3 linked regions of the Sus scrofa genome follow. The protein of the gene in region 1 binds, or shares a complex with, the protein of each later gene. Links are inferred from orthologs where the notes say so. Each region holds a gene or a part of one and is shown in the gene's direction. Other genes may lie near its edges.

What was found.
Region 2: SMARCA2 (region 1) and SMARCD3 share a complex: the UniProt entries of both Homo sapiens proteins name them as parts of the BAF complex. The link is inferred for Sus scrofa from reciprocal best matches to the Homo sapiens genes SMARCA2 and SMARCD3.
Region 3: SMARCA2 (region 1) and DPF3 share a complex: the UniProt entries of both Homo sapiens proteins name them as parts of the BAF complex. The link is inferred for Sus scrofa from reciprocal best matches to the Homo sapiens genes SMARCA2 and DPF3.

What each region holds. Positions count from the first base shown.
Region 1 is NC_010443.5:219,770,313-219,773,959, reverse strand, and holds part of SMARCA2 (probable global transcription activator SNF2L2), read left to right. Parts: intron 1-735; coding exon 736-909; intron 910-3,647. UniProt on the Homo sapiens protein: ATPase involved in transcriptional activation and repression of select genes by chromatin remodeling (alteration of DNA-nucleosome topology).
Region 2 is NC_010460.4:5,982,414-5,986,060, forward strand, and holds part of SMARCD3 (SWI/SNF-related matrix-associated actin-dependent regulator of chromatin subfamily D member 3), read left to right. Parts: coding exon 1-181; intron 182-1,852; coding exon 1,853-1,895; intron 1,896-2,106; exon of another isoform or gene 2,107-2,203; coding exon of another isoform or gene 2,204-2,299; intron 2,300-2,687; coding exon 2,688-2,810; intron 2,811-2,946; coding exon 2,947-3,069; coding exon of another isoform or gene 3,070-3,105; intron 3,106-3,316; coding exon 3,317-3,412; intron 3,413-3,541; coding exon 3,542-3,643; intron 3,644-3,647. UniProt on the Homo sapiens protein: Involved in transcriptional activation and repression of select genes by chromatin remodeling (alteration of DNA-nucleosome topology).
Region 3 is NC_010449.5:95,981,760-95,985,406, reverse strand, and holds part of DPF3 (zinc finger protein DPF3), read left to right. Parts: intron 1-226; coding exon 227-308; intron 309-806; coding exon 807-877; 3' UTR 878-3,647. UniProt on the Homo sapiens protein: Belongs to the neuron-specific chromatin remodeling complex (nBAF complex).

The sequences.
Region 1 (3,647 bases):
TTTAAAAAGCAGACACAAATTATGTCTGGTGATTTTACCTTCCTATAAAACTTATTTTGAGTCACAATTCTGAAGTATTTAAGTTAGAGGAGAAGAAACACTACTTCTATAACATGATTCTCACTGGAGGGACTCCTCTCCCCAAGGTTTATTTGAATGTTATTTGCTTTAAATTTTGTCGTCACCATTTTGTGGGTTCCTCTCCATCTTTGATCTTTCCATTGTCATGTACCCATGCCTTCAAGGCCTGGGAGGCTTCTCTTCCATAGGCTGGCATCAAAACAAGCTTTGAGGAGTTGTGGCTCAGCAGTAATGAACGCTACATGGGTTCAATCCCTGGTCCTGCTCAGTGGGTTAAAGATCCAGTGTTGCCGTGAGCTGTGGCCTAGGTTGCAGATGTGCCACCTTGAATCTGGCGTTGCTGTGGCTGTGGAGTAGGATGACAGCTGCAGCTCTGATTCAGCCCCTAGCCTAGGAACCTCTGTATGCATGGGAGCAGCCCTAAAAAGACAAAAAACAAACCAAAACTAAAAAACTTTGAGAAATCATCTATTCTACCATGTGTAGTCCACACCTAAGCTGTGGAGACATACCATGGTATCTATCTCAAAATAGGTTTTAGTTTTCCCTCGCTTTTTGGTCCACACTGAGAGTTTTCCTGGACTATGTTGAAACCTTATATGATATTGGAAACTGGGTTTTAAGCATTCCTTCTCCCTGCTCTGAATCCTTTAGGAATACCTGAACAGTATTTTGCAACATGCAAAAGATTTTAAGGAGTATCATCGATCTGTGGCAGGGAAGATCCAGAAGCTTTCCAAGGCAGTGGCCACTTGGCATGCCAACACCGAAAGGGAACAGAAGAAAGAGACCGAGCGGATTGAAAAAGAGAGAATGAGGAGATTGATGGTAAGGGGCTTGCCTACAGGAATCCAGGAAAATCCCCCCCCCCCCCGCCGACCTGTCTATACTGAGATTGTTAAACATGCCATATTTGAAGGAGAAAGTAGAAGCTGCTTATCAAACATGTTAATTCATTCCTTTGAACTTCACAGGGTGGAGTAAAAATATCTTCTCTTTCGTAGACAATGCAGTGCCACAAATCTAGGGCTACTGCTGATGAGTATAGTATTTCCATGTCCTAGGGTGGCACTGCTGTTCAGATGATAGCTTCTCACATAAAGGCAGGTGCTGTATATTGCAGGAGTTTCGATAAGCAGACCTGGAAGGATAGAAACGACTTTTTTTTTTTTTTTAAAGGATTACCTCTTGGAGACTAATGACAGAAGTTGTTTTGAATGAAGATCTCATTAAGTTGTATCCTAGAATGTAAGAAGTTCTCTTTTTTTGAAGCCTTGGGTGCTTTTTTTTTTTTTTTTTTTTTTAAGTGGCAAGAATTTTTCTCTAACAGTGTAAAAAGTGACTTTTAAGTTAATCTTGAAATGTTGCTCTTTTGGTTATAGTCCCGTTACTGTCAAAGGCTGTTCATGAATCACTTCATTTCCACTTTTATTTTCTAGTAGATGTATAAACCTAGAAGGGATCGGCTTATATCACTGACCCGCATATTTGGTTTTATTGACCATTTATTTTTGGAATTGGACCTCAGAGCACACTGTGGGTTTTAGAAAACTGTGTGTGATATCTTTTGATAGGAGACCTGTACATTCTTTCTGGAACATAATGCCTGAGTATTGGATGAAGATAAAATCATTAGCCTTAACCCATAATTATGTCCCTGGAAAATTCTAAGTGACACAGTCTTCCTTGATAGTATTACGGTTTGCATTGTGTTGTCATTCATTTTTTTTTTTTTTGGATTTCAGAGAGTAAACACCATATTTTCAAAGGCTCTGTGGCCAGGTACTAGTAAATCTTACCATCTCCTCCTGATTTCCTCTCCTTTTTGGGGGAGGGAGGAGACTGTCCAAGAGATCGCTAACTAGCTGGGGAGACCATTTTATAGTAATTTGAGCAGTAAGCAGTCAAATTTGTCTGATTCAACTGAAGTGAAACTAAATTAGAACTTCAGTAACAGATTGGTTTGACACTAATGATTAGGCATTTGCAAATCATTAATTTTTGCAATTAAATGATGGAATATACAGATAACAGAGAAACTGAAGTTTTTTATCACTCTTTCTTCAAGTGAAATCAACCATAGCCAAAAGCAATTAGAGTTATAATAGCATTTGAGATTCACGCTCATCCATGGGGCAGACAGCAGCTAAACGGAGTGATGAAGCCACTGTCATGCAGTCAAATGCTAGAGTGACACCTCTGGCTGAAAACCCTATGCTTCTCTGGAATGGAGCTGCTTCTTAAAGATTTTGCAGTGTGTCCCTTTTATTCTGTATCATGTGAAGAAAATGTTTGTTAGATGTCCTTTTCTTGGGATATGTGAAGATTTCTCTTGAAATCTTCCAGGGTACATTAGAGTTTTTATTCCATTTAACCTCATAATGCTGCTTAATCAGAAGTAGAAGTGGGAATTACTGTGTCTGTTTCATGGCTCAGCAATATCAGCCCTCAGATGCTCAATGACTTGTCCCCAGTCAATCCTGCAGTGCCAGTCTGAGACCAACGTCCCTCTAATTGGACCTTTCCTATCAACAGCAATGTTTGTAACACTTTTTAAGTATAAGAAGTTATTTTTGGAGTTCTTGTTGTGGCTCAGTGGTTAACAAACCCAACTAGCAACCAGAGGTTCGATCCCTGGTCTTGCTCAGTGGGTTAAAGATCTGGCGTTGCCATAAACTTTGGTTTAAGTCACAGACACAGCTGGGATCCCGCATTGCCGTGGCTGTGACGAAGGCCAGAGGCCACAGCTCCTATTTGACCCCTAGCCTGGGAACCTCCATATACTTGTAGGTGCGGCTCTAAAAAGACAAAAGACGAAAACAAACAAACAAAAAGAAATTATTTGTGCAAAGCCTGTTCAATTCGTTCCCCTGGAAATACTTATCAAAATACTTACGAATGAAAGATTATGTCTGGAATTTGCTTAGGACAGCCCAGTTTGGGATTGCAGTGAGAGGGTGGGAGAAGGATAGCAATGAAACCAGAGTCATCATGAGTTAATTTTTGTTGCTTAGTGTTGGTTCTCTGAGAAATTATGTTATTTTCTCTGTTTTTGATTATATTTGGAAATTTCCATAATACAAAGGACAGGCTTCAGATGGTGAATCGTTAAATTTTAACACTTTATGTGCAGGTAAAGAAACACAGAAGAACAAAGAGTTGGCTTAAGATGCTTGATCACGAGCTCCCTTTGTGGCTCAGTGGTTAACGAACCCAACTAGGATCCATGAGGATGTGGGTTCGATCTCTGGCCTCTCTCAGTGGGTTAAGGATCCAGTGTTGCCATGAGCTGTGGTGTAGGTCGCAGATGTGGCTCAGATCCCATGTTGCTGTGGCTGTGGCTGTGGCATAGGCCTGCAGCCATAGCTCTGATTCGACCCCTAGCCTGGGAACTTCCATATGCCAAGGGTGTGGCCCTAAAAAGCAAAAAAAAAAAAAAAAAAAAAAAAAAAGCTACCTTGCCCTGAACTGGTATCCAGGGATGTTGGCATCCAGTCCTAGACTCTTTCCATGCTCCTAGAGAGGGTGCAAGAACTCTGGCAGCTGGATCCTTCCGTTGCCATGCT
Region 2 (3,647 bases), on another chromosome or scaffold:
CCCACCAGGGGGCGCCCATGGGCCCCCCGGGCTCCCCGTACATGGGCAGCCCCGCCGTACGACCCGGCCTGGCCCCCGCGGGCATGGAGCCCGCCCGCAAGCGAGCAGCGCCCCCGCCCGGCCAGAGCCAGGCCCAGAGCCAGGGCCAGCCGGTGCCCACCGCCCCCGCGCGGAGCCGCAGGTAAGTGGGACCCAGCGCCGAGGGGGCGGGCCGCCGGACCCGCAGGGAAGGGGTGGGCGGGGAGCCGGATTGGAAGCGGGGGGAGGAGTGATCGGCAGGGGACAGGCGTCCTGGGTGGGGTGCCCTCTCGGGAGGTGGGCTGAGGGGGCACTGGTCCGATTCCTTTGTGTGCCCACCGTAGAGACAGGCTGCGGCCGTCACGCCCTTCCTCCTTGTCACCTGCTCTGTGCCTCTCTCCACCCCTTGTCCCCAGGCTCTGGGTGATGCTTCAGGCTGTGGGGTGGAGGCGGGGCTGACTGAGGGCAGAGCTTTAGAGACCGTTTCTTGGTGTGGTTGTCCAATGCGCCTTCCTCAGAGTCCCCGGCCTGACTGTTGAAAAGCCCACTCCAGATCTTCTTCATCTGAATTAAGGGTGGAGCCGGGGAATGTGCCCTTTGGATGGGCAGTCTCTGCCCGGGGGTGCTCTCAGGTGATTCTTAGGCACGCGAACGTTGGAGAGGTGCCATAATCTGCCCTCTGGACCACCTCTGCCCCCAAACCACCAAGGACCAGCCTGTTTCCTTGTCTGAGCCAGCTGGTGGCACCCCAAAAGCCCCTGCTGGTGCCTGGCAAGAGAGATACCCCTCTGGGTTTCACTATTAAGCCAAACACACATGCTTCCCTTTGCACACCAGATGGAGTCCTATAAAAGGCACAATATGGATTTTACCTCATTATTAAATATTTTTTACTTATCGAGGAAAATTCACCCTCTATAGGAATCTTATGATGAGTTCTGTTGCAGAGTGAGTCGTTCTTTTATACAGTAAAAAAAAGTCCCTGATTTAGCTCGTATAAATGAAGAGTTTTACCTAATGTGTTCAGGACAAATTAGACCTTTAATGAAAGCTGCTTGTCCGGCCTTAGAATTGATTTGGGGACAGGTAGGGGCAGGGGTGGAGAACACCACACGGGGGCAGTATGCAGCCATCCTCTAGGCTGGGTTCTAATTTCTACTCGCCAAGGATTTTCTGAGGTGCTTTTGGGAGTCAGGAGCAGCTAGTGGATCAAGAGGTGACCAAGTCCCAGCCGCTACTGCAGGTGCAGCCCACAGCTACACCCGACAGGAGACACCCAAACCCACTCCCTCTGCATACCCATGGGTGTGTCCCTGGGCACCCCCTGCCCATCAGGGTCCCCTTCAAAGCCCAGGGTGACAGAGATGCAAGTCCTCACCAGCTTTACACCATCCCTTCCTGCTCCAGGGATGGGGCAGGGGGCCGGCTCCCCTCCCTCTGAGCTCAGGCCACCTTGGACTGTGCACCCCTGCTTAGCAGAAAAGGAAAGTCCTCAGAATCCAACCTCCTTCTCCTCTGACCTCCCCCCTCCCCAGCTGCCCCCAAGCACTTCTGCAGCTCCCCTACCACCAGCCCCTTCTGAGTCTAATTTCTCTGGCCCCTCGGATGTGGTGGAGCAGAAGAGGGGCTCCCGGGCTAGAGAAAGGACGGGGTCACCTCTGCTCCCTATGAGAGGACAGAGCACCAGTGCTGCACACCACCATCGTAGCCCCTTGGGCAGGCTGTGGGAACCCCAGCCAGGCGGGCTGAGATGTCGGGATAATTTAGCAGGTGGCCTCGTTACTCCCAGATCTGTCGCCATGGTAACGTGGTTTTTTCTTTAAAAAATGTACAGTGCCAAGAGGAGGAAGATGGCTGACAAAATCCTCCCTCAAAGGGTGAGTGCCTTTCACAGCAGCCCCCAGCCACCCCCCACCCTTTGCTGCTCCGCCCTCCTTCCCCCTCCCCTCCCCCCCCCCCCCCCCCCCGGTCTCCTCCCCTCCCCCCTCAGGAGCAGATCTTCTGCCTCACAATCACTTTCACTTTTTGTTTAAAAAGCTAATTAAGAAGTGAGGCTCTCCAGGCCAGAGGGAGGGGGTGGGGCGAAGGGAAGAAGCCGAGCCATAGGGGGCAGGATACTGGGTCTGGGGTGCAGTGGATTGAATGCCAGCGGTGTGAAGACATAAAGGCATGAGACAAAGAGGGGATGAGAGCTCAGGGATCAGAGGCTGGCAAGGGGAGTGAAGGGAACAGAAGCTGGCCAGGAGACCCGGGCATCATAAGAGGACCCAGGCTGAGTTGGGTATGGACTTAGCGTGCTTGAGACATCAGGTGGAGCAACTGGGTGAGGTGCCAGGGTAGAGGCAAGCAGCGACTTCCCCTGTCTCAGGGAGCCCAGGACCCGAGGGGAGCCCAGAGGCCGGAGGACCAGTGAAAGGACAGGATGAAGAGGTGGAGCCCTTGCTGGGCTCTGTGGTCTCTCCGGCTTGTGCCCCACACGATGAAATGCACGACTCTTTCTAGCGGGAGAAGCAGTTTTTATCCCTACGTGTCAAGCCCCTGGGGAGAGGTCTCCCGGCCTCTCAAACTTCCACCCCCGAACCAGGCGCTCCCCGCCACTCTGTTCTGGGACCATCTGACACCTGCAAGATTGGCTGAGCCCCTGGTTCCCTGCCTTGCTCTTCTTCCAGATCCGAGAGCTGGTCCCAGAGTCCCAGGCTTACATGGACCTCCTGGCGTTTGAGAGGAAACTGGATCAAACCATCATGCGGAAGCGGGTGGACATCCAGGAGGCTCTGAAGAGGCCAATGAAGGTGTCTTGGTTCGGGGGCGGGAAGAGGGCGCTGAGTCCTATGCCCAGAGCAGAGAAGCGGGCTGGCCCTGGCACGGGGCGTGGGGGGACGGGGAGCCCCCAGTGTTCCCTCTGTACTACACTCTTTATTTCTACAGCAAAAGCGGAAGCTACGTCTTTATATCTCCAATACTTTTAACCCTGCGAAGCCTGATGCAGAGGATTCGGATGGCAGCATAGCCTCCTGGGAGCTGCGGGTGGAGGGGAAGCTCCTGGATGACGTACGTCCTGGCCCAGGTCTCTCCAGGTGTCCTGGGGTGGGTATGGGGCTGAGCTGAGGCCAGGCCCAGACGTTTGCCCGGAGGGTTAGGGTGACAGCCCTGGCCAGGGGTGGGGGGTCTGGAGAGACCTCTGGTGCCGAGGCCTGCTGCTAACTGTGCTGCCCTCCCCGACCAGCCCCCCCCACTCCCAACGCGCTCCACCCCCGCGCTCCCTGTTCCGTCCCCACGGTCCGTTCCTCTCCCACAGCCCAGCAAGCAGAAGCGGAAGTTCTCGTCCTTCTTCAAGAGTTTGGTCATTGAGCTGGACAAAGACCTCTATGGCCCTGACAACCACCTGGTGGAGGTGAGACCCAGAGCCCTTCTGCCCTTGAACAGCCTCCCCCCCTGCAGACCACGGTCCCACCGGCCGCAGCCTGGGATCAGGGAGCCCCGGTGGGCCTGTGAGGTGACCCAGTTCTCCTCTCCGGGACAGTGGCACCGGACGCCCACAACTCAGGAGACGGACGGGTTCCAGGTGAAGAGGCCGGGGGACCTGAGCGTGCGCTGCACGCTGCTCCTCATGCTGGACTACCAGGTCC
Region 3 (3,647 bases), on another chromosome or scaffold:
GGAGCTATGATTTGAGAACTCTTATGTGGGGGTAGGATGCGTATAGTTCGGGAGATAGAGGGGGGATTCCAGATGTGGGCAAAGCACAAAGCATGTTCAGGGGACAGTGACGACCCCAAATGGGGCCTGGAAGATGGATGATGAAAATATGGCTGGAGGCGTGGGCAGATGTTGGTTCTGAATAACTCAGTCTTTCCTCCTCTCCACCTTCTGTGCGTTCCACTAGGACCAGCTGCTCTTCTGCGATGACTGTGACCGCGGCTATCACATGTACTGTTTAAATCCTCCAGTGGCTGAACCCCCAGAAGGTAAGGATGATGGGGTTGACAAAAACAACAGCTACTTCCACCACTTACCGAGCCCTCGCTACTGTGCAGGCCTCGTGCTAAGGGCTTGACATGTCTTGTCTCATTTAATCATCACAACCCTACGAGGTCAGTGCGACCACTACCATGCTACAGATGAAGAAACTGAGGCACAGCTTCAACCAGAGATTTCAACTTGAGGGCCAGAGAGATGATTCCCAGACATACGGCTGAGATGAGGGGAGGTGTGAGCTTCTAGGGGAAAGGGGAGACCCAGGGATGCTGGTTAAAAGGCACAGCCAAGAGGGCTGGTCCTTCCAGCAGTCAGCTGACCATCTCCGAGCACTTACTGTTTTCTCAGCTGAGGGACAGACTTCAGAACGTTTTCAGGCCTGGGCCTCCTCTCTGAATCATGCAAGTCCAATAAAAGAGGGCTTGCAAAGGGTTTAGGGCCCAGGGGTTGGAGAGGGGCAGCCAGTAACACCATCTCGTTTCTTACAGGGAGCTGGAGCTGCCACTTATGCTGGGAACTGCTCAAAGAAAAAGCCTCGGCCTTCGGCTGCCAGGCCTAGGGCCCCAGGTCACGGGATGTGACTTGCTGCCGGAGAGGCTGAACCTGAGCCCGGTTCAAACCAGATCGAGCCCCTACTCCCATATATCCAGACAGACCAACTGTTAGGAACATCAGTGACCACAGAGGGCGTGGACACATGGAAGCAAGAGGGTGAGGGGTCCGCTCACCTCCTACACACGGGTCTCCGTACTCAGCCAGCACCCCCTTGTTTCTGCCAGAAAGATGGGAAACTTTCGAAGAACGAGCCCAGCCGCAGCCCCATGGAGGCCCCTCGCCCTCACCCCAGCCCTGCGTTGCTCGCACTGGTCCCCGTCGCAAAGAACCACTGGGCACCCTGTGACGACCCATCTGTCCCTCATGTGCAGTTTGGTGTTTCTATCTATTGTGTTCCGAGATATCTTCGCCCAGCCTCCCTGCCCCCAGCTTAGTCTCTTCATCCTGAACTCAGCCCAGGAGCAAAGGGCTGTGGAGAAGTTTTTATTTATTACAAGCCTCCCTGGAAACTTCTAGACTCGGAGCCCGGAGGCCATCTAGACGAAGGAGCCCTGAAATCCTTCCTTGCTCCTTGGTCTCTGTGAAGAGGAAGAGCTGCTTTTTGGGCCCCCCTTGGATGTCCAGGGGTGTCCACAGCCTGGTGGTCTCTGGATGGGGCTGGGGAGGGAGGGGGCAGCAGGGAGGGGCAGGTAGAAATGTTGAGATAATTCAGAGGCCCCGCTGGAGCCGGTCAGTATTTGCTGTCCATCGTGCAGCTTTGCCAGGGACCAGCCCCTTGGAGCTGGGGCCTCCTTGAGGAGAGGAGAGGGAGCCTGTGGCAGAGGAAGACGCCAAAACTCAGCCTTCCACTCAGCCTGGGTCTGGAGCTTCCCCGACTGGGACTCAGGAACCAGGAAGGTGAGTGAAAGGGCTGCCAGGTCAAGAGTCTGGATGACGGTACCAAGCACGGCCGCTGAGAAACTCTGCAGTATTGATGTGACACTGCGAATTCCTTTCCCGAGTAATTCCTTCCCTCTGCATCGTGTGTGTGTGTGTGTGTGTGTCATTGCCCACTGAGAACTGATTCTGGAAATTTCAGGATCGGGGAGAAAGGAGGGTCCCCTCGACAAAGAACTGGGGTGATGTGATAGCTTATGACCAGGATGAGAGTCACACAGAACCCTCAGCCCGAGGGCTGCCCTGGTCTCCTACGCTCCCCACTAGATGCCAAACTCTCCTTTTGAACGAGTGTTTCGAGAAGAAAGAGCTGTTCCAGGAAGTCTGTGTTAGAAGTCAGCCCCGGGGGCTGGAGCAGACCGGGTTGCCTTTGCCTCTCTGCGGCAGGGGCCACAGCAGCGACACACAATAACTGACACGTTTCTGGAAAACTCATTTGCCCAAAGGGCAGGTCTCGGTGAGCGGGACCCTGGCGCATGCTCGGCTTCCCTGAAATCAGCTCCATCTCCGTGGCCGGCTGCTTACAACAAAGACCCGGGTTATTTCTGTCCTTCGGCTCCTGAAGAAGCCCCTGGAGGCCCGGAGGCTCCGGCCACTTGGGCCCCTCCTGTCCGGCCGCAGCGTTCGGACTTGCCAAGAGCCCGCCTTCCGGGCTAATTGCTCTTGGCCCGCAGACCCAGGGCAGCCTGGCACGGAGCCGAGCCATGCTGATCTCCCCCGTCCTTGGCAGGGTGACCCGTGGTGAGAGAAGGGGGTCCCTTTCCTGCAGGGGCCCCGTGGAGGGAGTTCCACCCATATGTGATGATCTCGTTTAAGGGCCCCAGCAGATGGGATTTTCATCTTCATTGCAGGATACTTCCTTCCCCTGCTGCTTGGTGAACCTGTTGGGGATTCTGGAGGCCCAGAGAGGGTTTGGGAAGTGGCCGTGTGGTCTCATCACCCCTTTATCTGGGAGGGTCTCGTCGGAGGACAGATTTCCCCTACGGATCGCTCCGGCTCTCTGTCTTCCCACAGACCCCGAAGTGGGTGTCCTCAAAGGCTGGTTATTGGTTTTGAAAATCACTTTGGTTTAATTTTAGGAAGAAAGTCATCGAAATGTTCACATCAGTCATCAAAAGCCACGAATGGCTTAAAAGTTAAAAAAAAAAAAAATCAAATCTGAAACCAAAACAGTGGCCCTCCAGGTGACAGACCCCTTTAGAGCATTTGCACATCTGTTCCCCAGCTCAAGGCAGATGATGGGGTGGTCCTGTTCTCTCTCCAGGCGTGCCTGCTGTGACAGCTTGCAGGCCAAGGAGGGCGCTGTAACCTCCTGCAGGGGTGAGGGTGGCCAGGGCTCTGGACTGGACATCAGGAAGGCCCAGAGTTCCCTTCCTGGTTTCACTCCCGCAGGATGGGCCTGACCCCTTCCTTCTCAGAGACCTCAGTTTCTACGTGGAAAGTGGGGGCAGCAAAGCCAGTTTGTGGGTGGCACCTGCAGGATACTGCAAGCAAACAAAAGTGACGGTCACCTTTATCGCCTTCTGTACTGAAAAAAGGAAGGTGTTGGTCAACTTCACATTGCTCTTTATTTGGGCCCCAGAGAAAGAGCCAGAATATCACAAGGTGCATGTGGATGGTCAGGGTTTTCATTTTGCCCCGGCCATCGAGTAGCTGCGTGACCTTGGGCAAGTCACTTAACATCTCGGAACCTCAGTTTGCCTGTCTGTGAAATGGAGGTAATAAGACTTGTCCTGTCTTTTCCATAGTAACACTGGGACTCTGAAAAAGCATAACGCTATATCAATAACTGTGGGAGAGCTGCACTGGTCAGGTAGGGACCCCAAATGATTTCTATC